4 linked regions of the Struthio camelus genome follow. The protein of the gene in region 3 binds, or shares a complex with, the protein of the main gene of each other region. Links are inferred from orthologs where the notes say so. Each region holds a gene or a part of one and is shown on either strand. Other genes may lie near its edges. The genes, in order: LRRC32, TGFBR2, TGFB3 and ITGB6.

Region 1 (7,207 bases), on a different chromosome or scaffold from region 3:
ATTAGCACAGCTCCTGAGACTTTCCGGGAGCAAGCCTGCATCCAGCTAGCTCCAAAGCCAATCTCACTTGCATGTGCCTCCAAAAGACAGCGTCAACGTATCATTACTCAGCGGCTTCCACCCACAGAGCATCACGAGGCTGGAAGCAAAAGAGAAAAGATGGAATCGTTCCCAGCTGATGGAGATCCCTCCGCTTAGTCACTGCCTGAGGGATGCATCTGAAGCTCTGCGCTTCCACAGAGCATGGCAATTGCTGAACAGGTTCACCCGAGGGTGAGGTCTCCATGGGGCTCCCCCAGCTCACCTCCGTGACATCCTGGGACATCCATTTCTGCCAGGAGACACAAACCAGGTGCTTTCGAGCAGACTGCTCACACCCTCTGTTGCTTTCCCTTGAAGTCCCCACACCGTGACATAGTTTGATGCGTTTCTGTAGACTTCTGAGTGAAGCAACACACCTCCCTCCTCCTCCCAGCCTGACATAAGTGATGTACACTAGGAAAAGTACTGGGCAAGTTTAGGACACAGCTGCTCTATTTTTAGACTCCATATTCCTTCCATTTGAGGGAAAAAAACTGTAATGGGTGATGATCTGGGACCCCAAGATCTGGCAGGTTGTGAGTTTTTCCTCAAGACTCAACAGCATGATGAAAATCTGTTTCCTCCTCTCCAAACCCAGCCTGAATATGCTAATTCTCAAGCCTTTTAATTATTGTTTGCAAAGTGCTCCAAAAATCTTCTTGTGGAGGGAGGAACTGCTGGTAGCACCGTCTATGATGTCTTTGGTGTTCCCCCTCTGTTACACACTCCTGAGGCCTACAGGAAGTGGGTGCTTGTGGACTCTGAGCAAGGAAATTTGTCCAGGGGGTGGAGGAGAGGATGACTTTTATCATTAGTTTGCTAGAACTGAGAGAAAAGACAAACATACTGATGATGTGCAGTTGTGAAGGCGTTACTCAGAACACTCAAAAGGAAATTGTTTCTGTTTAAATGCAGTGCAATAATATGACAAATTCTCCATGGATTTTACTCACAACAGGGCACCGCCCTAACAGAGAGCGTGTCCCCCATGCTGTCCGCGGTCTACTCTGTCACACTACCAGTGCAAAAAATGGCCCCTTTGTTTCTTAAATAATAACCTTGGCACAATCCAGGGTCTTAACATGCTTTGAAACTTCATAAATTCATAAAGTAACAAGGAAACTGATATGTTTCCAACCAAGAGCATGACTTAATGGCTTGCTGTGTAAGGCAGCTCCATAGCAAGCTAGGAATCTGTCCCTCAGGGCATTGTTAGGATGACTGTCACCCTGGAGCCCCAAAGTACTGGAACCTGATGGTTTCTTCCTCAAAATATTAGACCACATAGACTCAGTCCAGAGAAGGGTAAGCCACTCCTCGTGGTATGGCGCTACATCCTCGAATTTGGAGAATCCCTTCCCAAGGTCATTTTTCAGCTTAGCTACCCAGCTGAGGAGCTTTTCTTGCTTAGATTTTCTCCGGAAGACTCTCTTGACTCTGCACCCTGGTCAGCAAGATCTTGTGTGTCCAGCACCATGTCCCCCTCCTCTCTCCCCTTCTGGCAGGTCTCAGCCACCTGCCACCTTTGCCCAGTGCAACCCTTTGACATGTTGTGGTTTAGCATCATGGACCCTTTGCTGTCAGAGGTCCTCACATTAGAGGTGCATCCCAGCACGGGGCATGGTACGGTGCTTGGTCCCATATCAGGAAGGAGCAAACACTAGACAGGGCAAAGAAGCCTGCTGAGCACAGCAGCTGTCTGTTTGCGTTGGGACTGATGGCTCTAGCCATGACTTTCAAAACCAGTCTGGGAGCAGCAAAAGCAATAACTCAACCTAAAGGAGCTTTTACTGCTGTGAGGCTTCTGCCAAGTTGAAGCAGCTTCATTCATGGTGCCAGTCTGCTCCCACTGAAAAATAGGATAAAAAATCCCAGCATTTCTCAGAGCAGGACTGAGCTTTGCATCATGTTTAATGTCACAGCTTTCCACCACAGTTTGGGAAAATTACCTAGCCCCATTCACAGTTGAAAAATACAGGTGGTGTCAGTGACACCACCAAGGAGTCTTAGCAAGCTGGTAAAATGTTCCATCATTTAGAAAAAGTATGGTGCCCAGGCAGTGTCCCTATGTCCACTTAACAGATGGGAGGGCACAAGCAGAGAAGAGCAGTGATTTGCCACAAGACACATTTGAAAACCGTGGTAGAATTAGGATTTAATCTCAGTTTGTCCAGTTCTTATGCTAGAGGAAGATTTCCCTCCATCTCTTTTATAATATTAAATTTGAAAAAAATTAATAGATGACATTTGTAAGTAACAACAGCAGCAGTTTCCAATTTTCCCCCCAAAGTATTTTTTGTTAGCTGCTTAGACAACTTATAGTGAAATTATTCTATGCCAGATAGAGGTTAAATAAAAAAGAATACGCAAAACACAAACCAAATTCCCCAAGAAATTCCTCAGACAAGACACTTTGCTTCTGTGTTAGTGCCTTCACCGTTAGAAAGAGTGAGCATTTCACATTTACCTTGTTTCAAGGGTTTCTTGCATCCCCATACACTGCTTATCATGTCTTTAAAAAGCATATCCAGGTCTTCACAACTGATTCAGTCCTGGCGCCGATGAAACTGCTCTTCAGCTTCCCATTCACCCATTCAGGATGCAAAGCGGCTTACTCGTAACTTTCGAACTACGGCATTTTGAGGGAAATAACCTTATTTGGGACAGTGTCTGCTTTAAATTATGTTGCTTGTCTTCCCTCTGATTCCTCTCCGGGCTCTTGCTGGGTCCTAGGCACCGCTGCGCGCTGAACAAAGCCAGCTACTGTATGACATCCTGCAACCCTTGCGCGGGACAGACGCGCATCAGGAAACAAGGGGATTTTGACAGAGAAATGGGCGGGATCGGGCCCCGGGTTTGCTCAGGGGAATATGTGACTTATCTTTGCCGGCTGCATTGTTTAACTCTGTGCGCGGTGCAGGCGGCGTGTTTATGTTAGGGTTTTGTGTCCGTGCGTCACATTCCTGAAGCGTTGCAGCCCTCCCACCCCGCCACCTAAATCGTTATCTGCATCTTTGCAAAAATGGCATTTGGGGATTCAAGGTTTCAGATTTGCTGTTGATAAGGAGAAAACTCACAGCTGTGCAATCTTTCCTGGAGTACATAACCCCTTTTTTTTAGTAACAGCCCTCCTGGTCCGAGAGCGCGATACCAACCTGATGGAAGGACGGGGAGTCGGTATCAGCTTCCATGCACCTGACTTAAAGCACCTTTGTGGGTTTCTCTGGGGTGATGCAGAAATTAGGGAGATTGATATGAACAAAGAAAGACCGATCCGAAAGTCTGGATGAGATGTTTAATTTTTGGCAGTGAGTACACAGTGCTCAAGCTACCAGACCCACTAGTAAAAATTCCCGTTGCAAAAGGGACACTTTTGCCATGCCTGTCAGATTGCCTGTGAGTTCAGCTCTTTATTTATTATTTTGTGCTGCCCTCTAGGGCTGGAGCAGCTGCCTAATTGCAAGTTTCCTTAGTTCATTTTCCTACTTAATCAAGACTTGCTTCTGGAAAACCTGCCATTGTGCTGATTTCCCCATTGCTGTTTCCCAACCTCGCAAGCCTGAATTGCTGCAATGCACTTCTCCTGTGGTTAAACTAACACGTCAAAGAGCGAGGCTCTTATCATGTTGTTTGCTTTTCAAAGCGCCCCGAGCATGCGAGGAGTAAATGCTACGCAGGGGCGGCCGTACATGTGGGTTGGGGAGGGCATGATGAGGTGCAAGGGATAGAAAAATCCATGTTTAGCTCTCAAGAGAACTGTTTGTCAATGAGATATTAACACAATCTGGATAGGTTCTCCTTTGCTGGACTCTCATCAGACTAGTTTTGATCAGCTTCCCCTAGCACGTATGTTCTTAAGCTTTCGTTGGTCGGAGCTGGCCACAGCACTGCCTCTTTACTCAATCGCTTTGGCGTGCTCACTAGACGCAACCTTCCATCTGCTACCCCCTTGGTGGAAGTAGGAAACTCATGTTGCAGCTGGACTTGGCCCCCAGGATTGCTGTGGAGTCCAGAAGTTTAAATGCCTTTTGGTTGCTTTGAATTTATATTTCAATTCGTCAGTAGCATGTGATATCACTTGCAATGTACAGCTACTCTTGGTGGGGAGTTTTCTCAAGGAAAACCTCAAATATTTGAGGTCTTCAAGAAAAAAAAAAACACAATATCTCTGGTGAAAGGATGTTTTGATTTGGATTTGGATAGGGAATGCAAATATCATGCATACAATGAAGAGAAGCGAATGTCTTGGGTGACTGCAGTGTCGCGTTTTCCTGCACCTGGATGTGCAGAGCAATTTGCTTTGTGAGGTCAGTGGGAAGTTTGGATTCACAGGCGAAAAAATAGCAGGGTTTTTGTTGGTGATGCTTTTTTTAAAAAGCCGTATCAGTTCCTTGAGCTAATTTACTGAACTACCGAGCAGCCGTGCCAACTGAACTGCGTGGGTGAGCCTGGACAGAAAGAAATGACAAAGCGGGAGGGAAGGGCGTCCGCCCATCCTGCTGCTCAGGACTTTGCCCCGTTGAAACTGCGACCTCAGAGATGCACCAACTGTGCTGGGAAAGGCAAGAGGTCTCTTCATCGTCTCTGCTCTTTCCCAAAGGGGATCTGAAGGGAAAAAGTTTCAAAGGCTCCAAAACATTTGGTTGGTTTCTCATTTTCAGCATTTTCATGCTTGCTCTTCTGGACTGGGCTACTCAGCAGTTTACACTGTAAAGGGCTATTGAAATATTAGCACGGCACGTGCTTGTTTCCAGGGCTATAGAGCAAGGGTCATCCCCGTCAGACAGGTTAGATCCATCAGGTAGATGGACAAGCAGGCTCTCTCACCTATTTCCAGCAGCAGTGAGGGCTTTCCCATCCCTCTGATGTCAGAGGGTTTTCAGAGCACCTGCAGTTCCGTGAAATCGGACCCTTTCTGGTTTTCTTGCGGTCTTCTCTAGGTATCACTGCTTACTTGGCTCCTACTGAAGCCAGGTGGAGCTCATGCCAGCTCTAGGCAAATCTGGCTGCACCACAAGGTGCAGCACTGGGTGCCTCTGCCACTAGCCCTGGCTCTCAGGCTCTCCCCACAACAACTTGGGGCAGGAAGGAAAAGCAAATCCCAATAGCTGGCTCTCATGAGACTGTCTGTCATCTGCTGCAGATTCCCAAGGGTTTCAGACAAACAAGAATATGTATTGACGATTATGTGACTTGAACCTCCAGACCTTTTGGAGTCTGTCCATCCATAACGTTACTGCTTTCTAAGGCACTGCTTTTGGGCTGAGCCCTGTGTCGAGCCACATGAATCAAAATCTTGAGAGAAATAAACAAAAAAAACCCTCCTTGCTTAGAAATAAGTCTGAACTGCAGGGGCAGGAGGGGGGGCAAGTCTTGATCCCTTGGACTGGAATAGCTCCTTGGTGATTCATCCCACCGGGAAACATTAATATTAACCCTATCAAAAAAAAATAAACAATCCGTGCCATCCTCAGCCAGCACCATTGGGAAGGAGGCACATCTGCAGTTCCTGAGAACTTACGACGTCTCCATAAATTCCCTCTTCTGGCTCAATTTGCTGGTGCTGTCTGCATGGTGCAGTCTTGCAGACCCACCAGGACCGCTGCCATGAGCAGACCCAGCCTCGTGGCTCTCCAGCGTCAAGTCCACACATCAAAACTGCGACACCTACACTTCATGGATCACCAGTTTCACCCAAATCAGGCCTTTCCTCCTGTCTTTTCAAGCTGCTGCCTTCCTTCCCTTTCTCACACACAGTCCTCTCTGCATGCACTTCTACCAGGCCAGGCAACCTATGACGTTTACCCCCAGCAAAAAATGATCCAGAGGACATTAGCCTTTCCGATCCCCTTGGCCAAAGGAATAAAGATAAAGTTTAGCTAGTTCCCCAACTTCCTTCACCTTTTCTTTACTCCTTTCTCCAGAAGAGAAACTGAAAATGAATAAGAATCCCACAAAGTCCGTCACCCTGGAGACTTTATAAGAGAGCAGTTGGGCAAGGGGACAGCAGCAGATGAGAAAATGAACATGCCTCAATGTACAAAACCAGCAATGAATTGGCATTTTAAGATGAAACTAAATGAAATGTTTACCCTGGAAAACAAAACTTCTGGAGCAAATTCAAATCTGGGAAAAAACTAAGAACCTTTTCTCATCAGCTTAATCTACGCATAGCAAAGACAGAGACGCTCATTTTTACACCCGCAATTTTTTCTCTTAACTGCAGGTGCATTCAGTCTTTAAGAAAAGATGTATTCAGTTTATGTGATCCAATAGCAGGTAAAATGAAGGGAGGAATTTTAGTTCTGATCTATTTGACTTGACTGATACTGAATATCCGTCCTGAGAGTTATCCATCATTCTGTTAGTAAAAGGCTAACCACTGATCTATTCGCTAAGGTGTTACTACCTGCTTTAAAAAGAGATGGCTGTTCATGAATTTTTGTTATTGGAAGTAAAATATTTTCAGTATTTTAGAATAATAATGTCATTTTAAAGCTGAAATGATTACATTTGAATAAAAAAAAATCAATTTTTCACTGTTATTTAAGTTTGGCTTTTATTTAAAGGAAACATTTGCACTTTTATGAAGAAAATAACAGGATTTACTTTTAGAAAATTATCTTTAGTTCTTATATAGGATGAGATTTTCTGGAACTTTATAATTTCCAGATTTTGTAAAAACGTTAATTCCTCATGATAAGAGTACAGATTCAGCAAAACAGCTACTATCAGCAAGTTGTCATTTACCCAAAGTGAGATCCAAGCTGTCAGGATCTTAAGAGTCGAAAAAAATAACTCTGCTGTCTCACATCTTGTACTCCAGCAAGGAGAGTCCAATGACAGCTTTAACGGTGAGAAGACCAGATGATCTCAATAGTACTCTGTGCATTTTACACGGGCACTGTGTGATTTGCCCAAGGCTATATTAGGAGTCCGTGTCGGAGAGCTTGGGTAGCAGCATTTAATCAGTGCACAGGACTGATCTTTCTGCAGCACCCTTGGTTCAGAGCTCTGTAATTCAGTAACACCGTAAATAGACTAAAATTCTGCGAAGAAAGAAAAAACGTCTGCCCGTCTTCTGCAACTGTTAACACAGAGAGTAATAACAAAAAAGGAATATGAT
Region 2 (7,078 bases), on a different chromosome or scaffold from region 3:
CTGAATGAAGAAATTAAGTTCCAGATATTCAGAAATGAGGAATCATTACACAGATTATTCCAAAGCACAAATTTAAGTTTTTAATACTCCAAATATAAACTACAGATTCCAATTTCACTTGGACAAAGCAGCGTTCATTTCTTATGCAGGCGACTGCTAATTTGCACTGCCATTTATCAGTGTAGCAGTCACAATCATTCAAAAAACACAACTTGTCCCTTTAGTCCATGGAAATAACTTCAACTACTTGTGTCTAGAACAGGATATTTGAGCATCTTTTTCAAAGGAAATACTTGCTATTGGACCCGCTCATGAATTCCTGGCTTTCTCCAGAATTTTTGTGTAAACGTGCTGTTCTTGACCAGTATTTTGCTAGGAAGAATGTTAAGATGAAATTTTAGCCGAGGTTCTGTTAGCCCCCCTCACCAACAACAGCAGGTAGTCAGTACACACACCTGGGAAGCAAGCTCTCCTGAGGCTGTTATCCGTCCCGCCTCATCCTCTCCCAACTGCAGAGCTATTGATTATTCCAAAGAGAGTAGCTCTTCTTGGGCTTTGTTTGGTTTTCCCAAACAAAGTTTCTAGTTTTCATTCTGATGACTACTAAAAACCAACATCCAAACCTCACACTTGCTGCCCCCACAGAATTGTTGTTTTCTGACCAGTGCTACCTCGTTACACGCTTAGTCCTGCAGTAATTACAAAAATGGAATTTTGAATATGATCAATTATCTGACAACAGGTCAACCCAATTTTGGTTACTGTAGAGTGCAGATGAAGATCAGCATGAAATACGCTGAACTGGAAGGAAATCTCTATTTTTTTCCTCACTGGCTCTATGACAAGAAAGAAGACATCAAAAAATTTCTTAAGATAGGCCCATTAAAAAGTTTATCTGTAGTTTGAAACTGTCTATACTGGTTGAGCAAAAAAGCATAAGCAATAATAACAGAACAGCAGCTTTATAAAACTGGAGCTTTTCAGTTTAATTCCGTTAAAGCTTTGTGTAATAGGAATCTACAGTAATATTTTTTAGGCCAGGATCAAAATAAAAGCCATCACTAGCTGGGTATGGTTTATATTAATCATAAATATATACCAAAATCAACAAGAAGCTGCATGCCTCAAATTTAAAATAATAATAAGATATTGTGCCCTAGGACACTACAGACCCTTATTCTTAAACTGTTTAACTGTTTTTTCATGTGCCTTAAACTTACGTGAGTAACTTTACAGGTATGTAAGGCCTGTTGACTTTGACTGGGTTATTAACGAAGCATTAAGTTAGTCATGTACACAGCTATTTGCAGTGGCTATGCGAGAGCTATCCAGTTTATGTTGTTATTTTTCAGCAACAGTTTTGAGACCGTTATTGAATGGACCACAGGGGAGAACTGGAGCACCAAGCACAGCTTGGAAAAGCTCAGGTGCCTGTTCCTCTTACCTAAAGACTAAAACCAGACATTCAATATAACAAGGCACCTCAGAGATCTGCTTAATACCGCAAAACTGTTTCAGATACAGTTTTGCTGCGATAGGATGTTCTCTTTTTAACTTCGCCAATGGAGCTGCAACGCGATTTAGGGCCTAACCTCGCAGATAGAGATGTTAGTTCACACGCGTGGGTTAGCACTGGTAAGACTGGGACCAGAAGCTCCTCAGGGTAGGGGCCCTGTTTTCACAGGGGCACTTCAACCTCTCCGTGCATTCCAAATTACTCTGTGAAGAGTAATACGAGCCACAGCCTCAAAACATCTCTCTACAGATGTCTGGATAAAAACAGCCAGAATAAGGGACGTAAAGCATCAGTAAAAGTGAATTAAACAACATGAGCACTTTAAGACATCGAGCGCTACAAGAATGACTGCCGTTCCCAGTGCAACTGCTCACAAACCATGCCTTAATCCTGCTGCAGGCAATGCCGCAGAAACTCCCACAGAGTCAAATAACTTTTTGGTAAGTAACCGCTGATCGCCTCGGCAGCCAGCTCTGCGGCCGGGCGCGGGCCCACCGCCCCGAAGGACGGCACGCACAGGCTCGGGCCACGCAGCACCCACGGCGCTCTCTGCCCGGTGTGGGCGGGCAGGGCCGCCAGCAGCGGCGCCGGAGCCGTGCCCCGCGGCGGCGGGAGGTGCGGACCGGCCGCCCCCGCCGCCCCCAGGTGCGGAAGCTGCAGCAGCTGCAGGGCCCGGCAACCTCTCCGCCCGGCCCGGCCCGGCCCGGCCCGGCCCGGCACAGCAGGCAGCTCCCGGGCTGCCCTCTCCGGCTCCTCCGGCCACATGAGACCCTGTTGCATTTCCTGCCAAATTCTCTCTTTTTCTCCCTCGCTTCCCTCTGCCGACGGACCTCACTGTCTACTGTGAGTCCCCCCCCCCCCCACTCAAGTTCCCCAGCCCTTTTTCCCCCCGGTAACTCCCCAGCAGGGCAATAAATAAACACGCGTGTCCTCCCTACCCGCCCCCCCCCGCGTTTTGTTACCAGCTTCAAAACTTTCTTAGCAACCAAATCCTCCCCCTCCCTTGCCACCGCTCCCGCCTGCGGCCGAGCAACTGTCAAGTGAAAACGCTCCGCAGGCTGCACCGGGGGCCGGGGCAGCGGCGCGCACTTACCCCGAAGCAGAGCGGGGACCGAGCTGCCCATTAGGAGCCACACGGAGACGCGCAGCAGCAGCCGCCGCAGGCTCCTCGGCAGAGCGGCAGGCATCGCCGAGCCGCAGCCGCATAGAGAGCGAGGCCGAGGCGGGGCGCGGAGCGGCGCGGAGCGGCGGGCGCCCGGGCAGCGGGAGAGGCCGCCGGCGGGGCTGGCACGGCGGCGCGGGCTGCGCTGCTTTTGCTGCTCGGGACCGCGCGTGACTCACTAAAAACTTCACTTCGGCGCTGCAAGGGAAACAGGAAATCTTAAACTTCGCAAACAGCTGGGCAGGACTTTCTTTCGTACTCTTACAGGAGTTCCTTCTCCCCCCTTCCACGCTCACCCCCTCCTCTGCGCTCGCTCCTTTTCTTTCTTTCCTTTTTTTTTTTTTCCTTTTTTTTTTAAACATGAAACCTCACCCAGTTTGGTGTCAATCATCTGCCAGAGGCCAACCCCTCGCAGGTCTGGCTCTCCCACCCCGAGCGCGCCGGGCCAGCCCCGACGTGCTGCCGGGCGCCCGGAGCTGCCTCCCCCGGCGGGAGCGCGGCGCCCCCGGCGCGCCCCGCCGGGCCCCGAGGGGCGGCACCGGCAGCGCGGAGGCTGGGAAACGCCGGGAAACGGCGAGCTCCGCTGCTCCCGTGTCCCCACGAGCGGACGAGGGCCCAGTCGTGGCCTTGGAGCGTGGGGGCTTTGCAGCCGTAGCCCTGCCCTTGGCGGTGCTGCTGCGGCCTGTTTCGCGCTCTGCCGGACCGGCATCTGAAAGAGGAGACGTAACCCCCTGATGAACTAAAGCAGGGGGTAAGGCAGGTTGAAATCAGGGTAATAACAGGAAATGTTCACACTGACGAGCTGGGCACTCGGCTTGCAGATGCTGAAGCAGACTGTGACAACTCACCACCTGCCTCTTTTTTGCATTTTGCTCCCAAATGGGCTGGATGCACACCATTTGCTCCCAAGCCCTGCACGTGTGACACAGATGAAGTTCATCTCCCTTCCTCTCTAAAGCAGCCTCAGCTTTTGCCAGAGATTTCTTCAGAAAGGAAAAATTGCACAGAGCATTCAGGGAGTGGGACCATACCAGTGATGTCAGTTATGCATGACCCAGACAGAGGTGACTGAACCACTAGATCCTCAGCAGGTTTACACTGAATAAGGCCTGTGCCTTCTGCCTGTATAAGTCCAGCCACTGCATAGCCAGGAATTGCCTTGAGAGCCATTTCTGGTTCAGTCTTCCCTCCTCTCCGAGTTAAATGGCTGGGCATTGATTGAAAAGTAAACTGCTGCACATGGGGATAATTTGAGAATGCCTGCTCAAATTGTGGTGATTCACTTTTGTCTTGATTACAGCACGAATTAGAGGTACAGATTTGGGTATTTCAGAAACAAGGCTAAGCCCTCACGGGGAATATGCATAATCATACTCTGAATGTCCCACATCAACTCTGTATGAATTTGGAAGTGTTTACATAATGCTTTTAATTGGCCTGTAACAGGCATAAAAAATCTCATTGTGATTTTATGTAAATTTATTTTTAAAAACTCCCTAAATGCATGTTTTCACAGTGCAGCCCTAGTTTATTGTGCACATTCCCATAAACCTCTCCAAGAGCATTTTCCTTCCCTCCTTTTAAATGCACTCAAGATTCATTCAAACAAAGATGCCACCTTCCAGAGGAGGTAAGAAATGTCAGATTCACCTTTGAGTACAGACCTGGAGTGTTCTTACCAGTTCCTGAGCATCCACGCTATGCTAGAAATTCTGTTTTTAGTAATTTATTATGTGAAAGCATTTCTCAACCCCCATCAACATTTGTTGTAACAATGTAGCTGTCAAGAGCCGCTGTTTGCTTAGAAACTTGGCTGTGTATGCTGCTTGAGCTCTCCTGTTAGTTTTGCCTGACTAACTTCCAACATGTAAGGAAGCTAAAAAGCCATTAAATATAGATTTAACGTTAGTATTCAAACCTGTCAAAATTCAGGTATGATTCAGTGAGCTGGCCTCTGCCTCACTTTCCACTGCTGTGGCACCTGATCTCTCCCCCTGACGTGAGTGCCGTGGCTCTTCCTGCGCACTGCGACCTTCGGACCAGTAGAGGAGAGGGGCTTTGGGGACGCCTCAGTCCTGAGCGCTCAGGGCCCCAACCGTCTCACATCTCTGACTGCAGCCTGGCATCGCGGCTCTTCTCCATCACGTTCCGTGATACTGCTCGTTAGATAACCCAATAAGCAGGGAGTCTACCATATGTGGACTTCAGAAGTCTAATTTTTCCATGTAAACATTGCTTTTGTTTTCACAATATGTCATACTAGGAAGTATGACTAAGAATAACTTCATATTAGGACGTTTTCTGGGTGGATGGAGGAATATATCTTACCTGGATATCCTCAGTGGAGAAATAATTCAGTCACAGAAAGTCCACACGGAAGTGGAAGTAAACTTCAGTTTGGTTCATAGATTTGTTGTAGACAGGCTTATTAACAAAGCTCATGTCCTGCCTTTTTGAGTACTATAAGCTTCCATGTTAAGGCCCAAATTTAGTTTAATCAGGATTTCCTGGACAACCAAGAATATATAAAACAAGGCTAAGCTGGTCATATCTTTCCATTTCCTTATTCATAATTCCCAGTTCCCTCTTTGCAGACTGCAGTTTATTACTTCTAGATTGAAACTGTGAATAGTTAACCTCAGCCTAAGGTGAGAAAGAGCCAGCCTTGAAGAGCCGCAGATTGGAACTAAATAATTAACTCCAGCCTGACTGAGTAAGGAAGGGCCAGCTAATTTCAGTTTGCTACTTAGAAAAGCTAAATACTGAAATACTGAGTATTCTTTGTTTTCTTTCTGAGCCTCAAAAATGATCTAAAGAGATACCCAGAACACAAACAAGCTAATACCTCTCGCACCTCAGAGCCTTCTAGTGAAAGATAACACAAGTGCTTCTTGCTGCAGTTTTAGGTACCACTTTTTATAACAATTCATAAAAACTAGTGAAAGCAAATGGTTTCTCTCTTTCCTAACCCAACTATTTCTCAGCTTGCAATGTCATATTTCTGTCAAAATTCCATGATTCCATAATTCTACAGCATTATTCTCATATGAAGAACCCTTTCAAGCCTCCACAAAACTTGCGTTCTTATTACAACTGCAGTTTCACTGTATGTAACATCCACCTTTAGCTCAAAGTCATTCTACTCACAAGCCACTGGATTGCCCAGTAAAGCCATTACTTTGATTAGTTTATTAGGTCTGGTGTTTCTTAGTTTAAGAATCCCTCAACAAGCTGTTTCTGAGATCCACTGACTCAGAATTAGAGAAGGCCTAAACAGCTGCACCAGCACAGGATAGTGTTTATGCCTGTATGAAGCTGACATGTGTGGCTTGCGGTGAAAACATCTCACTTAACTGTAGCTCTCCAAAAGTTAGCCTCAGAGTGAGGTTCCAGGAGACACCTGAGACAACAGAAAGCCTAACAGCTTTCCTGCTATGAAAAGAAGCAATCGCATTTATTCAACTGCATAGTGAGTTAGTCCCAGATCAAGTTCAGGGACCAAAGGATAGAGGACAACAGCTGGATGAGCAGGATTGCCCTTTACAGGGGCAGCAAGCTATTCGGTCTGCTAAATTCCCTCCATCATCAACGGATGGAGAGGATTCTAGCTGTTTTAGAAACCTCTAGAGACCTGAGCTAACGATAGCATAATTGGCCCAGACACCTAGTTTTTGGGCAGCTGATCTTAGATGAGATGACTCCTAATGAAAATGTTCTTTGAACTGTACAAGTTGTATAACATAAGCTACAGGATGCTTTACTGACTGGCAAACATTGGGATTTCTGCCTGTGTTTTTTGTTTGGAATGAAATGAGGCAATGAGGAATATCGTATGCTTATACCGCTTTTACAGAACTATCAATTACACAACTGGCATAAGCAGTTTGACCAAAACCAAAACATTTATGACTATAAATAAACTTGGTGACAATTACCTTCAAAAGAAAATTGGTAAATCTTTTTGACAAAGTTGACACATCCCGTTTGGACATTTTTGGAATGAAACAGATCTTTTTTTGTTGAGATGCAGCCAATTAGTTTTGAATTTTTGTTGTTTCCTCATTTTACACATAAAAACAAACAAAAAAGAGCAACATACAACATCCTGATTTCACTGAAGTGAAGGAAGAGGTTTATTTTCAGGGAAGTCTTGATATTTCAGTTCAAATCAAAGACAAATTTTGAAACCCTGTATTCTTCTTAGACCAAAACTTCTGCTTTTTACAGTGCACCGTTCATGAAGCTGACATCTCTCCTCTAATTTTCAAATTCAGGATGCTTGGCACGGAGTATTGGCCTTTCAGCATTCTTAATAAAAAGCCTGCAATGTCTTGTGCACCATTTATTGCTGAAGAAGAACACATAGTCCTCTACAGACTCATGTTAAACTACTGTGCCTT
Region 3 (7,432 bases):
TTCAGACTTGTCTGTATCATCCTCACAGTTCCCTCAATGGAGCAGCCCTCCCCTTCCCCCCAGGAGGAGACTGGCTCTGGCTCAGAGCATGCTCTGAGATCACCACCTGGCACAGTGACAGAGTCATGGGAAAGTTGAACATCAGCCACTTTTGAAGACACAGGGCCAAATTCAGCAACGGTGTAAGCAGTGAAACTCCCCAGGTTTCAGAAAGAGCATGCCTCTACACCACAGCCCATCTGGAGCCAGTTTCTCCCAGTGTGACCCAATTCCAAAGTTGTTTCTTTCTCTGGATAGTGGGATCTACCCAGCCGGCTCCCAGGAATTCAATCCTAACACTAGCTGGTCTTCTGAACCCACTGCTCAGAGCCATGTCCTGGTGTCCTAGATGGAAATGCGAAAGGTCCATTCATTTCCATAGGAATGGAAAGGAGAGGTCAGTATTTATCTGGTAGACAGTGGCTGTGGGAGTTTCCTCTCAGCGATCTCTGCACTCACCTGCACTTTTACTGCCCTGAGCTCCCCTGTCTTGCACTTACACCACCAACTCACATTCTCTCCCCACTGTCTTCTTGCTCCTTCTTATGCACCATACATCCTCCTCTTACCCCTCCACTTCACCCAAATCCACTTCCCTCTGACTTCATTTCCTACTGCTGCGCTTTTCAGTTTCCTGCTCCAGAACCCAACTGGTTCATAGTATGGCTATGTTATTTTGTGCAGAGACTTGGTTTACCCATACATTTTTAGCATTTCACAACGGGCGCTTTAGTAGGTCAAAAATGTTGAAATACGGGTAAGCTGCTAATACCCTGTGCACTTTCTGTTCCTCGAGTCTTGGGGTCTCCTGCGCTAAAAGCTAATCATATAAGCATATGGAGTGCAGTCTGCTAGAGATTAAGTGAAATCTGTTGCATTACCACATTGTGGCTCTTATTCCAGCTCATCATATGTAAAGATTAACATAAACCTGGCAGAGTAGCTGCATTCTGGCTGCCTATACTGAGTCCCAGCTCCTCCCCCGGAACTGCTGGTGTTCAGTGTCCCCAAGAGTGCACTGCATCACAAGAGAGCACCCTGGATGGTGATGTGACTGAATGCCCACCAACTTCTTCTAGCAGGAGGGAGTATTAAGCACTGACTGAAAGGATTGCTTGTGCCTCCATCTGCTCAGCATTTGCAATGTGCTTGGGTTCATGTCTGCTCAGTCTCTGTCTTTGCATCTGCTCAGCTTCTGCACCTGAATCTGTTTAGTGTCTGCATCTGGGCCTGCTCATCTGCTCTGCACCTGCTCAGCATCTGTCATGTTTCCTCAGTGCCTATGTTGTTAGTGGTGAGGGTCTCTTTTGCCTCGCTGTCTGTTTTGCACCTGCTCAGCATCCTGTTATCTTCTGCTCACTCTCTGACCCCTCAGTAGTTGAGTAACATCCTCAAACAGTGTCTTCCATGCAGGAATCTTTTTGGCAAATGCCCTTCCACCTTCTCTACAGCCAATGTGGGCTCTGCACAGCCTGGACAGGTTGACTGTATCCTGTCAGCAGGCACTGGAGCTTCAGCAAGGAGGAGCCAGCTGCCAGCTGCGGAAGACTTGTCCTTTAATGTGGGACCTTTTCGTTCTCCTAGCCCCATGCTAAGCGTTCGCCCTGAGACCCAAACTGCCTCCTCTTCCCTTCTCTCGTCTTCTTCCCCTTTCTCCTCTTTCCTCCAGCCTCCTGCTCTGTCCTCCCCTCCCTGCCTTCTCTGGGATGTCGGGGCTCCAGATGCGGGCTTGGTGTGCTGCTTCCTGGCTGCAGCCAGGGCCGATGTCCTTCCAGGACACCGCAAACCTATCCCTGCCCGCTGCCAGTGCTCGGCGCCTGCCACCCGTGGCGGGGCGGCCCTGAGTGAGCCCGCACTGCCTGGTTATCGGGGCTTTCGGAGGTCGCCTCCACTCGGCTCCCGCCGCCCGGGGGCCCGGGACAGCGGCCGTAGCGCACCCCGCCGCCGGCCCCGGGCTCGCCTCCGCACCCGGGCGCGCAGCCGTGCGGAAACGCGCCCCCACAGAGGGGGCCCACGTCGCGGCGCCCGCCCCCGCGTCCGCCCGCGCCGCCGGCAGCGCCAGCGCCGCCCGCCGCGAGGCCGCCCCCGCCCGGGGGCCCCTCCGCCCCGGCCCCGGGATCCTGCCCGGCCCCGCAAGCCGCCTCCCGCGCGTCCCGGGCAGCGGGGCGCCCTGCGGCGCGGCATCCCGCGCCGGCCGCACCCGCCGCGCACGGCCGCCCGGAACTCACTGTGCTCCGGGAGGCCCTGGATCATGTCAAATTTATGGATCTCCTTGGCATAGTATTCGGACTCGGTGTTGTCCTGAGAACAGCTCTCCTCTTTCTCCTCCTCCATCTCCTCCAGCAGCTCCCGGGTGCTGTTATAGAGAGCCAGGATCTGGTAAGGCACATGCGCCGGCCCCACGGTCTCCGGGGGGCTGGTGAGGCGCAGCTTGCTCAAGATCTGCCCCCGAATGGCTTCCACCCTCTTCTTCTTGATGTGGTCAAGGTCCAAGGTGGTGCAGGAGGACAGCGAAAGGCTCACGGTGGCGAAGCTCAGCAGGCAGAGCAGCACCAGAGCCCTTTGCACGTACATCTTCATGTGCGAGGGGGCCGCGGCGGGGCGCCCCAGGAGAGACCCCCGGGGAGCGGCGAGCGGGCGCAGGAGACCGGGCGGCGCTTTCGCGGCAGCCTCCCGAGATCCCGCAGGCTGAGGCTTGGCAAGGCGGTGCATGAACTCACTGCGCCGAGCGCGATTCAGGACTTCCAGGAAGAGCTGGCAGCGCTCCGCAAGGAGAAGCGGCAGGCTCCGTGCCGCGCCGCGCCGGGCGCCTTCCCCATGCGCCTCCCCGCGTCCCGCGGAGCCGGGGCCGGGGGCGGCGCGGAGCCGGGAGCGCCCCGCCGCGCCGCCGCCGCCGCACGTGTCAGCGGGCTGGGCCGCCCCGCCGCCGCGGGGGGAGCGCGGCGCCCGCCCCTCTCGCTGCACCATTCATGCCCCCGCCGGGCCCCGCGCCCTACATTGCCCCGCTGCCCGCCCGTCCCAGCGGGCGGCCGGTGCGCGGCCCCGCTCCGCTCCCCGCGGAGCCCGGCGGCAGCAGCCCGCGCCCGGCCCGGCCCGGCCCGGCCCGCCGCCGGGCTGCCCGCTGCTCCGAGGGCTCCGCTGGCCGACGACCCCCGGTGGCGTGGCACACCGCACCGCACCGCGCCCCTTCCCTCCCGCACACACTGCCTCTCTCCAGGCCCCGCCGCGGAAATTTTATACCTCCCTCCCATGACGTCCCCGGGACGGGCCACGGGCGGGGGAGGGAGCTCCAAGCCCGGCCTTCGCCTTCAGCACCGCGCTGATGGCTTCAGCAGGCGCGGAGCCGGCACAGCCCGCCCTCCGCCGCCCCCCGCGCCGCCGCCGCCCGCCGCCGCCGCCGCCGCCGGGCCCTGGCACCCCGGGGCGGGGGCGCCTCGGCCGCGGGGCGGGCTCGGGGCGGGCCGGGCCCGCGCCCCCCGCGCCCTCCGACGTGGCCCGGCGCGGCGGCGGCGGCGGCGGCGGCGGCGGCGGCGGCGGCAGGTCGCGGGCGCCTCCTGCTGGCGCCGCCCGGGGGCGGCCGAGCCCCTTCGCGGTGGTCGGCGAGCGCCGGCGGGCGGCGCGGGGCTGGCTCCTCCCTCTTCCAGCTGCGAAATCGCATTCAAAGCGGCTAAAAATACCCCGAATACTTTCCTGATGTGGTTTCTTTCCGAGGCAGGGAGGGCGGGCGCCGCGGGCGAGGGGCTGCGGCGGCCCCGGGCGCAGAGGAAGGTGGCTGGTGGCCACCGAGGTGCCGAGGAGCCACCGCAGCCCCTCCGGGACGGCTGGGCCCTGGGAGGGGGAGCCGGCGCCCCCGAAAGCTGGGCGGGATGGTGGCTTGGTGCCTTCCTGCCCCAGCAGCAGCCGCTCGCAGAATCAGTCGCTTTTTCAGCCGAAAGAGCAAGCTGGCTGTCCCTTTGGGACGCCCACTGCGGGCTGCGGGTGAGGAGGAGCTGGGCCCGTGGACACCTGCGGGAGCAGTGCCGTGGCGGGTGTCCAGGCCTGGGCAGGTGCCTGCTCCGGTGGGGCAAGGCCCTGGGGTGTCGCGCTCTGCAGGGCGGCCCCCAGGGCCATGCAGCTCCCACGGTGCTGCCCCAGGCCCGGGTGTCGAGCGTTGGGGACTGTCACAGCAGCACCAGGGATGCGCTGCTGGATGTGCTGGCCCCGGCTGCAGGGAGCCTTCCCTCGCCCAAGTGCCCAGGACTGCCCGGGACCAGCTGCCGGGGCTGGTGGCTCAGGGGTCAGCAGCGCACAAAAGACGCTGCGTGGGGAAGAGGTTCGGCGAAAAGCCGTGAAGCAACTTGATGTGTTGGACACACCGCGAGTGAGTTCCCCAAGACTCGAGGAACTCGATCTGTTTTACTCTTCAAAGGGGAGATTAAGGGGGGAGCTGGTCCCAGCACACGAACGCTTTGCTCAGGGAAGAGGAACTTGAGAAGACAGGTCCTTAACGGAGCAGACAAAGATGTAACAAGATCCAGTGGCTCTGAGATGATGTCAGACAAATCACGACTTGGAATAAGGTAGAAATTCTGAGCGCTGCCATTAACTATCCACTGGAATATTTTAACACAGATTGGGATGGACATTTCTAAAACTCCCCAGGCACCTCTGAAATGATTTCTGGATGCTTTTCCATGCTGGGAAGTCCTGCACCCCGCATTACGTTGGAGGTTACACTTAATGCGGCAGAACTGATTGCTTTGGACTTCAGCAATCCATTGGCTACAGTGCCACATAGTGAGTTATTAGTTAAGATTGAGATAAGTACAGGAATTATAAGAGATTACTAGAGGAGTTCCCCAATGGCTGGTCCTGGGCCCAGTTTTCATTAACGATCTTGGCGCACTGAAGTGAATGCGCTAATGAAATTGGCTGCTTATCCAAAGTTGGGAGGCATTGTCAATACAGGGGAAGACAAGGATATCCTTGGTTGACACACTAAAAATGGGATGAAATTTAATAGTACAAAATGTAAGGTCATGTTGTTAACAGCTGAGAGCAGGCTTTTCTGTTACTTACCACTTGGAAATAACAGCATTGAAGAAAGATGTAGGTGTGGTGCTGGTGCCAGTATTGGGCTGCTCACTTTTGGCTCTGCCTGTTGCTCTTTCTAGGTTGTGAAGCGGCAGGGAAGCTCCATGGTGTGACGCGCACAGGAATCACTGCTAGTGGCTGTGAAGAGCAATTGGTAACAGGTTGCACGGCTTGGACATGCTGGAATCCAGCTGGGCTGAGGGAGAGCTTGACAGGGCTACCGAACATGTGAGCATCATAGGAAATATTTCACGCTTGGCAAGCTTGCCTGGGGTTTGACAGTCTGAGCTGGGGCTGATGTAACTTGAACAGCATCTGTTCTCATGGAGATCAAGAGAGCCAAAGGCACAGGCCTAGTCTATCTATCAAAGCCCCCTTTGCCTTTCAGAGAGAGAAATCTCGTTTGAAGTTTCACAAATATTAACAGATATTGTTCTGGAACCTGCATGAGTAACAGAGTATTAGCAGTTTTTCCCTCCTCCAAACCCCCTTAGAGATGGGGTAAATACTTTGAGATGCTTGGGGGAAAAAATGCAGGAAAGTCAAAATGAGGTGCTTGGAGCAGCTAGCGTGGAGCAGGCTTGGGCAGCTGTTGTTCACTTGGTGCTTTCCTTCCCAGGGGAGGCTTAATGTTTACAATGAATCAGTCCATGTTGAAGTCAGCAGTCTGGCTGGCCACGTTACATGCGGACTGGATGAGGAAGAAAGGCACAATGCTCTGTCACTGGTTGCTACAAGAATTGCCCTTGCATCCCGTAAAATCTACTGCCATCAGAGAGCACACAGCTGCTTAACAAAACCTCCAGCCACTGTGAATAAGGTTCTCATTGTTCTCTCCCACCGTAGTGCTACCGTGTGGGCTTCCCCCCGTAGCTGTAGCTTTAACTATACGTGTGTGCGCTTGCTGTAATGGTGGCTGAGGATCAGAAGCATGTGGGAATGCTCAAGCATGATTGCTTTCCCAGACTCTCCAAAGTGTTCTCTTAGGTGGAAGGACGACCGGACACAAGCTCTATTCACAGGTCCAATCAAGGAGCAATCAACAGCAAACAGTGCTGGTGGAGGACTCCGCTAGTCCTTTTCTGTGTGATTGGATTTGGGTTGAAACCAGATGGATAGAGTCCATGCTTAGGTGTGAGAACTTGTACGTGAAAGGAATGCTTGCATAGTTCCTACTTGCTGTTCAGATGACTGGCGGTAGCAGCATTTTAGTTTATAGTGAAGACAAAACTGAACAAGTAAGGCAGACTGGGAGTTGAGAATACGCTTGAAACAGACCACTGGAAAAGAGCAACCCTGGCACCACAGACCCTAACTGAAGGGGAAGCAAGCAGACAAAATGACTTTGGACAGCCACAGCAGCAACAAACATTTGTCCCATTAACTATGTCTTGGTTAAACAGGGGCTGCTGCAGGCCCAGGGTCAAATGCTACCTGCGGTGTCACAGTTGGACATAGGAGAATTATCCTGTTCAGAAAGTATGACCCTGATGTTTAAAGTAAGCAAGATTTTTGCCACAGCATGAAATGACAGATGAAAACTCTCCTCCAATGTGAAGGCAGGCAAAGATGTGTGAGGGTGGGTGACAAAGCCCGTTCCCGTGAGTGGAACCGTCTGTGTGGGAACCCAGAGAGAACCGAGGCAGGACAGTTTTTAAGTTTCACTCTTTCTGCATATCTGCTCTTCCCTCTCATCAAGAATTTCTGAAGTCAGAGGTCAAAGTTCTGGGGCAAGACTCAGTTCTGCACATGCTGAGCTGTTTTCTTTCCCATATGTGGACGCCACCGTCCTTTGGACAGCCTGAGACTCGTGTCACTGGGGTGGGCAGCAGGCATCACAGCGTTTGTGCTTGGGGGGCTTGGTGCCTGGGATGGGGACCAAGGATGGGTTATGGGGAGGGGGCCGGGAGGTGCCGCTCAGGATGAGTGAACCCAAGGGTCCTGCTGCTTCTGAGGCTGTCAGGCCAGGGGAGACCAGCACCGCTGCGCACCCTGTACTGCTGCCCTGCCCTGCCTCCAGCTGGAGCTCCCTTCCCTTGTCACCAGCTGACAGTGGCTACCCAAGGTCTCCCGCCCCAGGGTACCCTCCTGCTTTAGCAGACACTGCTCGGGGCACCGTCGCACTCCCTTCGGGATGCTGTTCCCCCAAGCGAGAAGGGCAGCTGTAATTGTACACTCACGCTCAGACATCCTGCTAATGAACCTGGGCTGCGGCCCCTTCTCTCTCCTGGTGCCCCTGTAGCTGCACGGTTGTGGCATCTCGTCAGGAGACTGGATGGGAAGGGGCAAGTGTGGACCCACGTTCCACAGGCCCTCACGG
Region 4 (7,219 bases), on a different chromosome or scaffold from region 3:
TTGTTGCCCTTCATGGTAGAGGGGAAGCGGGGGGGTCTCTGGCTGGGGCGAGGGGCAGGTGGCCAGCTGCCCCACTGGGCCCACGTGCTGCCTGGCTGCAGCAGCTCATGGCACTGCTCTGAGGAAACCCCCTTTTGCTTCTTCTCAGGTCTTTCCACTCCTCTTCTACCTCCCTCCCTGATCCCAGGGTAGAGCCCTAAGCCCATCCGTGCCTTCTTTGTTTGCTTTTGCAATCCTTTCAGTGCTTTCCCCAGCCCTTCACCTCCAGCCCAGAGAAATGATATAATCTAGGTGTACTGGGACACTTCTGCTCTTTGTGCTCCATTTCCCAGTTAGTACCTTAGATGAGACCCTTATATGTTGGTCTTCCAACTCTCAACCTGTGGATACTGATCCTTCCTCGCCTGCTAGTAGCCTAAGCAAATTCTGCCTCCCTGCCGTTTCTGGCTTTGGCTCAGGTTTGTCTGGGATTCTTTTGTTGTTCATCCCCAAACTGTCGTGTTCTGCTTAGATGAAAGGGCCTAATTTAGGTCTGTTAATATGGACCTACAATACAGTTTATGGGGGGGGGAAAAAAACACCCCTGAAAAGGGCATGTGACCTGAGTAGAAAGCAAGTGTGGTAGAGGGGGAAGCACTGCCTCGTTATCCTAGAATGACCTAGTATTATAATAAATAGAAAACTTTTAATAATCAAAGTAGTTTCAACATGATTCTCTAAAGCAATGGACTAATTGTTCCAGTCTGGGAGAGAGATTATGCTATGTGTCCTTTGCTAGTAGGGCTCTTATTTCTTCCATCTGGTGTGAGGGAAGAAAGTGGTTGCTTAAATCACTATTGATATACAGCGTATGAATCGCAGTTTTGATTTTATGAACAGCCTCTGTCATGGCTCATGTGGACTGCCTCATGCTCATTGTACTAGGGAGATAGACACACTGTCACCATTCCTATAAATAGCCTGGTTGGTTATTAAAGAAAGACTAGTAGTGTTCCCTCTGGGAAGAATAGGACTTTTGAAAAATGGCATTTTAGACCAGTTTTCTTGAAACTTTCTACAGGAGACAGCATTTGGAGAGTAGAAAACTTACTAAAGAAAGACCATAATCAAGGAGTTAATCTCTGAAACACAGACACCAGGTGAATCTGGAGCATTTGGAGAGGAAAGCTAAGTTAGAAGGAGTAACACAGCAGTGTCCCTTTACAGAGGGGGCTCAGCTGCGGGGCTGGCAAGGGCAAGGCAGCTGACGCGGAGAAGAGAGACTCTCTGAGATCCAGCGGAAAGCTGAGCCGCAGCACAAGGACTGTTGTGAGCTTGAGGAGGTCTGCTCCACAGCTGGAGGATGCTCAAGTGTAGTGGGGAACATGAGGTAAGGCGACATTTTTTTTCCCCCTGTATTTATGTTGGAGCAAAGTGAGAAGTGATTGTGTAGAGAAACTCTTATGTTTGAACTGTCAACTGTTTAGCTGTTAGCTACATTAGCTGTATTAGCGATTAATCTTCTAAGTGCAGAAAGCACCTTCAGGTAAACACCAAGCAGCCTCAAGGCAGGTTCAGTAGGGATGGATGTTTTTAAGTTAGTGAATAGTCTGGGGATCACTATTTCTAAGGGAATAGGACATCTGGGCTATGGGTCCTCATTTCTGTAACTAAGTGTGCTAGAGAGACCAAAGAGAGCATATGTCCTGCTGGCTGCACAGTGACAAGAGTTTTATTGCACATACTGTGAGAGGTCTAATATAACATGGCATTGAATGGCAGATAATAAGGTTTGGTAAGTGTCTTCGCCTGACTAATAAAAGTAACAAATGCCAAGATATTTTGGGATTTTGCTTACAATGGACAACAGACAGAGAATTCAGACCCCACCTTCAGAAACCTGGGGAGACTGCAAGAGTGCTTTCAATTGACAAAAGCACCCTTTGTGCAAATCACGAGTCTGCATGTAAAACAAAAAGATTGCTTTATCAAAAGGAAAGGGATAGAGCATTAAATTCGGGGATGTGACTAACTTCTTCTGAATAGTGAGGAAAGCACCTCACCTGTCTGTTATCTTTCTGTGCACTTCCTCGGTTGTGGCTGGGGCCATCTGATGACTGTTTCCCTTCCACTCCCAGCACAGGGCGGTCTGCCTGCTGTCAGCAGTTAATGAAGTCACCCGCAAGACTCCATCCCCTAGGGAAAAACACTTCTACGAATAGGCCTGTTACTTATATCTCTGGTTGCAATGCTCTCAGCACTTCTCTTGCTATGCCACCATCTCTAGTGCTTACGCCGCAGTTGTTTTTCATTGCAGAGTTACTGCTATTCAGGATGGCGAAAGATGGCCGCCTTGCTCCTAGCAGAGTTGTAGAGCGCTTTGAATGCTTCTGTGTTGTTCCCTGATGACAGTTGCAGCTTCTGAGGTGCCACAGACTTACCAAAAACATGCAGAAAGTGAAGCAGCAATGAGTAATGGTATTGCAGCACTAACTTTTAATAATGGTCCACAGTGAACTTCATCATGAGATACTTCATCAACATGCAATATCCTATAATAAGGAGGAAAAAAAGGCTTTTTATGAGAACAAAATGTTTCCATCCTACTGAGACAGAAAGGGAAACTTAATCTGATGAGAAGTATTTAGAGAGCATCACCTATTTGCCCAGTGAGGCTTGCATGTCTAGTTATGATTAAGCTGTACTTGTACGGAATTGCATGTTGGTCTAGACAGAGCTGAGCTATAAAAGAAATAAAATCAGTAGAAATAAAGATAGATGAAGAATGATGAATCATGATGAAATGTTGTCCAAAGTATGGAAATGTAAAATCTTGAAAGTACTAACTACCATTTGTAGGTCGCTGTTTGTGCCAATAAAGGCATGGACTACTCAGTGCAGTAAACTTGTGTTTTTGTGACTGAGTTGTGTGGTTGAGATCTAACCCCAAATGATTTTACAACTGAACATCTTTGTAAGAAAATTTAACTGACAATACCAATAGACAATCAAAAGGAAAAGGAATAAGTAAAATGACGTTCAGTTTGAACATTACCTGTTTTCTCTTGGGGAGATGTTGGGGGGCAGCTCTTTTAAAAAGTGGGTTTCGATATATGTAGATTTTTTTAACCTGACTTTTAACAGACTTTCCCCCCATCAAACTGTCAAAATTTTAATTCTCAAAAAGCTATGATGATATCTTCAATAAAATGCCAATGTAGATTTCTATCCATCATCATCAAAATGTCTGCACAATTCCTACATGAGCAGAGTTAAAGTCGCTATCTCATATGAACCACTGTTCATGCGCCTCATCCTCCTACTTCTACAAAATCAAAAAAATAATAAAACTTGTTAGTCAGACTTTTCATTTCATATCAATTCTGGATGGCTGAGTAAGTTTGAATGATTCATATGAAAGTTTAATGTCAGCCTTTAATGTGTTCGGCCTGACACATGGTGTGTCTTATAATATTGATATATCTCATCAACCTAGCAATCTGCATCAGCTTGCTGAAACATGCCGTGAAAGGAAACTGATGTAGTAGTTCTGATCTGCTTCTCTATGAAAGCTTTAATTAAAACATTTACACTGTCTGTTAAGATTGAAGGGATTTGGGGAAACTCGTAAGATGCCTGTGCTGTCATTAACAACATTTCATTTTGAAAGTTTAGACAGAAATATGCCTCTTAAGTCACTGCTGTGACCTGGACAGCGTCTCAGTGGCATCCAAAACTTGTCTGACTTGCTATCTGGTATTTTATATATAAGAAAACACAGATTACTACTTTACTTTCCAATCTGCTTGCTAAGTGCTTTCTGCCAGTAACAACCAGAGCGGCTGCCGTGAATTCAGGGGTCCTGCAGAGCCTGAACTCTTGAACTCTCTGAAGAGCTCTTGCAGTGGTTCTCATCTGTCTGCCAGGGGTGCGGGCGAACACAGCTGAGCACACGTTTCTCTCCTAGGGTTCCTATTTCCCACTGCTGGTGCCCAGACAGCCTCAAGGCTGTGACAGTGTAAGCAGTGCTCCACGGTCTCCAGGCTTGTCGGCTGGGAGGTTAAGCCTGATCAAAATGAGGTTTCATTCACTGCTAGCTGCTCATGAAATGACACCCTGCAGTCTACCCAGGAACAGCACTACTAGGGTAACGTGTCCTGGCTGTGTCTGCAGAGGTGCCTTATTAAGGTCTGGCACAGACTGGGTTTTTTCCTCCCTTAGCAGAGCTGTCTAGAGGGTAGGACTGTGCATGGACCGTCCCTCTCCAGGACAGAAAACCTGCTGGTAAGAATGATCCTTACCATCGCCAGAAGCTGTTTCTTGCCCGCTTCAGTCCCACAGTGCTGTGCTAAAGGCAATTCATTCGATTCAGTAGAAATGGATGTTAAAATCAAAGCCAACAACTTAGTCAGCTGTTTAAAATCAGCTTCAGTAAACTTTGCTCCCTCTCTGATCTTTTCCTGACTTCCTCATCCTCTGTGCTTGGCTTTCCTCCCTGAAGGCATTCAGGCTCAGATTTGGAAATCCCCTGTTCCCAGCACTGAGCTGTTATTTTTCTGGCAATATTTACCTGCTGTCCTTGTAGAATTGACTCAAGGCCTCTGTGGTGCCTGGGCTGTTATTCGGAGTATTAATAGAAATTATAAACAGAAAGAGGCTGACAGATATCTCCCACAAGAACTGCACTAAGGGATTTCTTAAGCCAGGAAGGCTCTCCAGGAGGAAGCTTGAGAGGCTGTATCTACGCTTAAGCCTGTACTGATTCTAGTTGCAATACAGGAGCAAGTTCTTCCAACAAACAATCTTCCTCAAAAATCCCTCTGACAATGAAGGAAAAAAAGTATCAGGATCATAAAACAAACAAAACAAAAATCCTATATACCATGAAGACTGTGAACTTAGAAGAATGTAAGCAAAAAGCCAAGTCTTGACAGATTTGTTAATACGTGATTTCAGAAGCACTAGCTAAATCAAACTGCCATCGCTCAACTCACAAACACAGCAAATGAAAACAAAATATGTTTTTTGAAGAACCAAGGGAGAAAATACGCATTATTATATATTCATATACTTTATAGTCATATAAAAGTGGTAGGAATAAATCAGATGGTAACACATGAGAATATAAATATCATTTGTGTGTCAAGTAAAAAGGCTGTATTACTCCGAGTGAGCGAACTGATGGTAAAGGATACTTGGTAAAAATGAATGTTTTTCTCAGTAATGTGATTGATTTTGTGCGTGAATCCTGGGTAGTTGTATGCCTGCCAGTTTTAAAAATCCTATCACAGTCCAAATAAAGGACCAAAAAGGTTTATTTGCTTTTGTATATTGTTTTAAACCATAAATATTGAGAACTTTCACAAAATGAGAAAGAAAAATGATGACCTCATCAGATCATGATAAATGTGTACTTTGTACAAGACGTTACTAGCATATTCAGTCCTCTGCTGGACTATTACATAGCTCTGCTTGAAATCATTATCATGACTGACTTATAAGTCGTGCACTCATCTCCTTTGGTCTAATATGGCGCAGGCAGAAAAGGGCATTTGTGCTTGTCCTACATGCAGGGAAATTCATGCACTGTGCGAGAGCATACCTCGCTTTGAATTTGAGAAAGATGGCTTAAAAAAATTATTTAACAAACCATATTGTTAACTTATATTGTTGCTTATATTTTGTCCAGATTTGTTCTGTGTAGCAGTAGGCACCCGAGGGGCCCAAGTCTGGAGCCAGTTTTGCCCTTGGCTCTGCCTATAGTAAACACAGACAGAGACACCTCCAGTATATGAGGTGTTTAGTGTGTTTAGTGTTCCCTGAAGGGTTTGCTTACAACGACATGCATGGTCCTCTGGAGCGATCAGCGTTTAACCTGTCTGAATTTGTCCTTGATCTCTCCTGTTGTGTGCCCTCACAAGTTCCCCAGCACAGCTATTGTTCTCTGATTTATAAGGGCATTCAGATACCTGTTCCAAATCACTGTTAACCCAGATGTCATCCAGCCTTTTTGCTGGCAGCAGAATACAGGCTTTGCACACCTTCTCCTGCAGACTCTATTAGCTAGTAATGAATGGTGGTATCTTCTTCTGTTTTTTAGTACTGCCAGATACAAAGTGTCAATGGCTTTGAAATTAACCAATTTGGGTTGGGGGGGTGTTATCCACAGCAATGTGTGTTTTACCTGTTTACGAGTACGCATTGCCAGAGCAATGTCCAGGCCCATAGCGTTGCTGAAGTAGCATACTAAAAAAGCAGATTTTATGATAACATTGTTATTTTTCTCCACAGTTACTCCTGAATCATTCTTATGAACCAGGCATGGTCACCTGTTCTAGTTGTGAATCGGTTCTTCAGGTACTAAAGCTATGTAGACGTTTCTAATGCTTTCATTCTTCATGAATAAATGCCATGTCCCTCTTCGGGAACAAATTATATCACTGGCTGCTAGACTTTGTCAATGAGGCTTCTTGTGCCATTGAGCAATCCATGCGCAGAACTGTACTTCTAATATTTCTTTTTCTCCTGTCTCACATGGTAATTGTTAGCTTGAACAATATTATGTTCACTAACCTCTTTACCCTCATTTTTGTTTTCCACATAGTTTTAAAATAGTGTAGTTACCTTATGGTGGTTAGACATTCAAGTGTCTCACCTGATTAGGGTGAGCAGGATCTTGCACCAACTTAGGGAAGCTCATCCACCAGACCAGTAACACACTAGAAATCAAAAGCAAGAACAAGGTTGCAAAGAATCACATCATAATTGACTGAAGTATAATGAATAACTGACAACTATGACTCAATGTCTGCATTTCTTCCCTAACAGAACACTTCATTGTATGCTGGCTTTGAATAGGTTTTCACATAGTTTCAGTTAATGATTAACTCAAAGTGACTAAACTACCTCCAGGAGAACTGATGACACATCTCATAAACAATTACTCAAGTTCAAAAGTATATTCAAGATTTCACTTTACCTATTTCATTCAAAAATATTTTTCTCTAAACTGAAACTATTTTAAATCTGCCTTATATATGTAAAGTCAGCAGCACTATTATAGCATAATTTCAAGCCAAAAAGATTGTATTCGAGGCAAATAGAGACACAGTATGTGCATGCATTTTCATTATTTATTCCATTTATAAAACAGAAGGCATTTTAATGTCTGTGGAAATGCAGTCATTTCTTGGCTGAAGCAACTTTTTATCAGCTCGCATTGTAGGAAAAAAGGCTGAAG

What was found.
Region 1: the proteins of TGFB3 (region 3) and LRRC32 are in contact, whole or in part, in a cryo-EM structure (PDB 8VSB), measured with the Homo sapiens proteins. The link is inferred for Struthio camelus from reciprocal best matches to the Homo sapiens genes TGFB3 and LRRC32. Residues at the interface, in NP_001316868.1 of Homo sapiens: Leu24, Ser25, Thr26, Cys27, Thr28, Leu30, Pro347, Pro349, Tyr350, Leu351, Arg352, Thr357, His358, Val361, Leu364, Leu368, Ser375; in NP_001122394.1 of Homo sapiens: Ala110, Ser135, Tyr137, Ser160, Val184, Met186, Asp187, Ile188, Asp190, Phe193, Leu202, Leu204, Arg206, Asn207, Ser208, Thr210, Cys211, Ile212, Ser213, Asp214, Phe215, Ser216, Leu217, Cys227, Asn228, Ser229, Lys254.
Region 2: the proteins of TGFB3 (region 3) and TGFBR2 are in contact, whole or in part, in a crystal structure (PDB 9B9F), measured with the Homo sapiens proteins. The link is inferred for Struthio camelus from reciprocal best matches to the Homo sapiens genes TGFB3 and TGFBR2. Residues at the interface, in NP_001316868.1 of Homo sapiens: Arg325, Lys331, Trp332, His334, Tyr390, Tyr391, Val392, Gly393, Arg394; in NP_003233.4 of Homo sapiens: Leu50, Phe53, Asp55, Ser72, Ile73, Thr74, Ser75, Ile76, Glu78, Val100, Asp141, Glu142.
Region 4: the proteins of TGFB3 (region 3) and ITGB6 are in contact, whole or in part, in a crystal structure (PDB 4UM9), measured with the Homo sapiens proteins. The link is inferred for Struthio camelus from reciprocal best matches to the Homo sapiens genes TGFB3 and ITGB6. Residues at the interface, in NP_001316868.1 of Homo sapiens: His259, Gly262, Asp263, Leu264, Arg266, Leu267, Lys268; in NP_000879.2 of Homo sapiens: Ser142, Ala143, Ser144, Asp147, Pro196, Cys197, Ser199, Ile200, Tyr202, Cys204, Ala234, Asn235, Ile236, Asp237, Thr238, Glu240, Asp271, Lys355.

Annotation. Positions count from the first base shown.
Region 1 is NC_090942.1:221,240,041-221,247,247, reverse strand, and holds the start of LRRC32 (transforming growth factor beta activator LRRC32), read right to left. Parts: upstream 3,019-7,207; 5' UTR 2,578-3,018; coding exon 2,549-2,577; intron 1-2,548.
Region 2 is NC_090943.1:46,973,766-46,980,843, reverse strand, and holds the start of TGFBR2 (TGF-beta receptor type-2), read right to left. Parts: upstream 3,004-7,078; 5' UTR 2,975-3,003; intron 2,877-2,974; 5' UTR 2,704-2,876; coding exon 2,610-2,703; intron 1-2,609. UniProt on the Homo sapiens protein: Transmembrane serine/threonine kinase forming with the TGF-beta type I serine/threonine kinase receptor, TGFBR1, the non-promiscuous receptor for the TGF-beta cytokines TGFB1, TGFB2 and TGFB3.
Region 3 is NC_090946.1:58,264,555-58,271,986, forward strand, and holds the start of TGFB3 (transforming growth factor beta-3 proprotein), read right to left. Parts: upstream 3,007-7,432; coding exon 2,268-3,006; intron 1-2,267. Other genes in the region: IFT43 (intraflagellar transport protein 43 homolog), read left to right, coding at 5,290-5,340. UniProt on the Homo sapiens protein: Transforming growth factor beta-3 proprotein: Precursor of the Latency-associated peptide (LAP) and Transforming growth factor beta-3 (TGF-beta-3) chains, which constitute the regulatory and active subunit of TGF-beta-3, respectively.
Region 4 is NC_090947.1:27,362,304-27,369,522, forward strand, and holds the start of ITGB6 (integrin beta-6), read left to right. Parts: upstream 1-4,199; 5' UTR 4,200-4,263; intron 4,264-6,270; 5' UTR 6,271-6,336; intron 6,337-7,219. UniProt on the Homo sapiens protein: Integrin alpha-V:beta-6 (ITGAV:ITGB6) is a receptor for fibronectin and cytotactin. It recognizes the sequence R-G-D in its ligands. Internalization of integrin alpha-V/beta-6 via clathrin-mediated endocytosis promotes carcinoma cell invasion.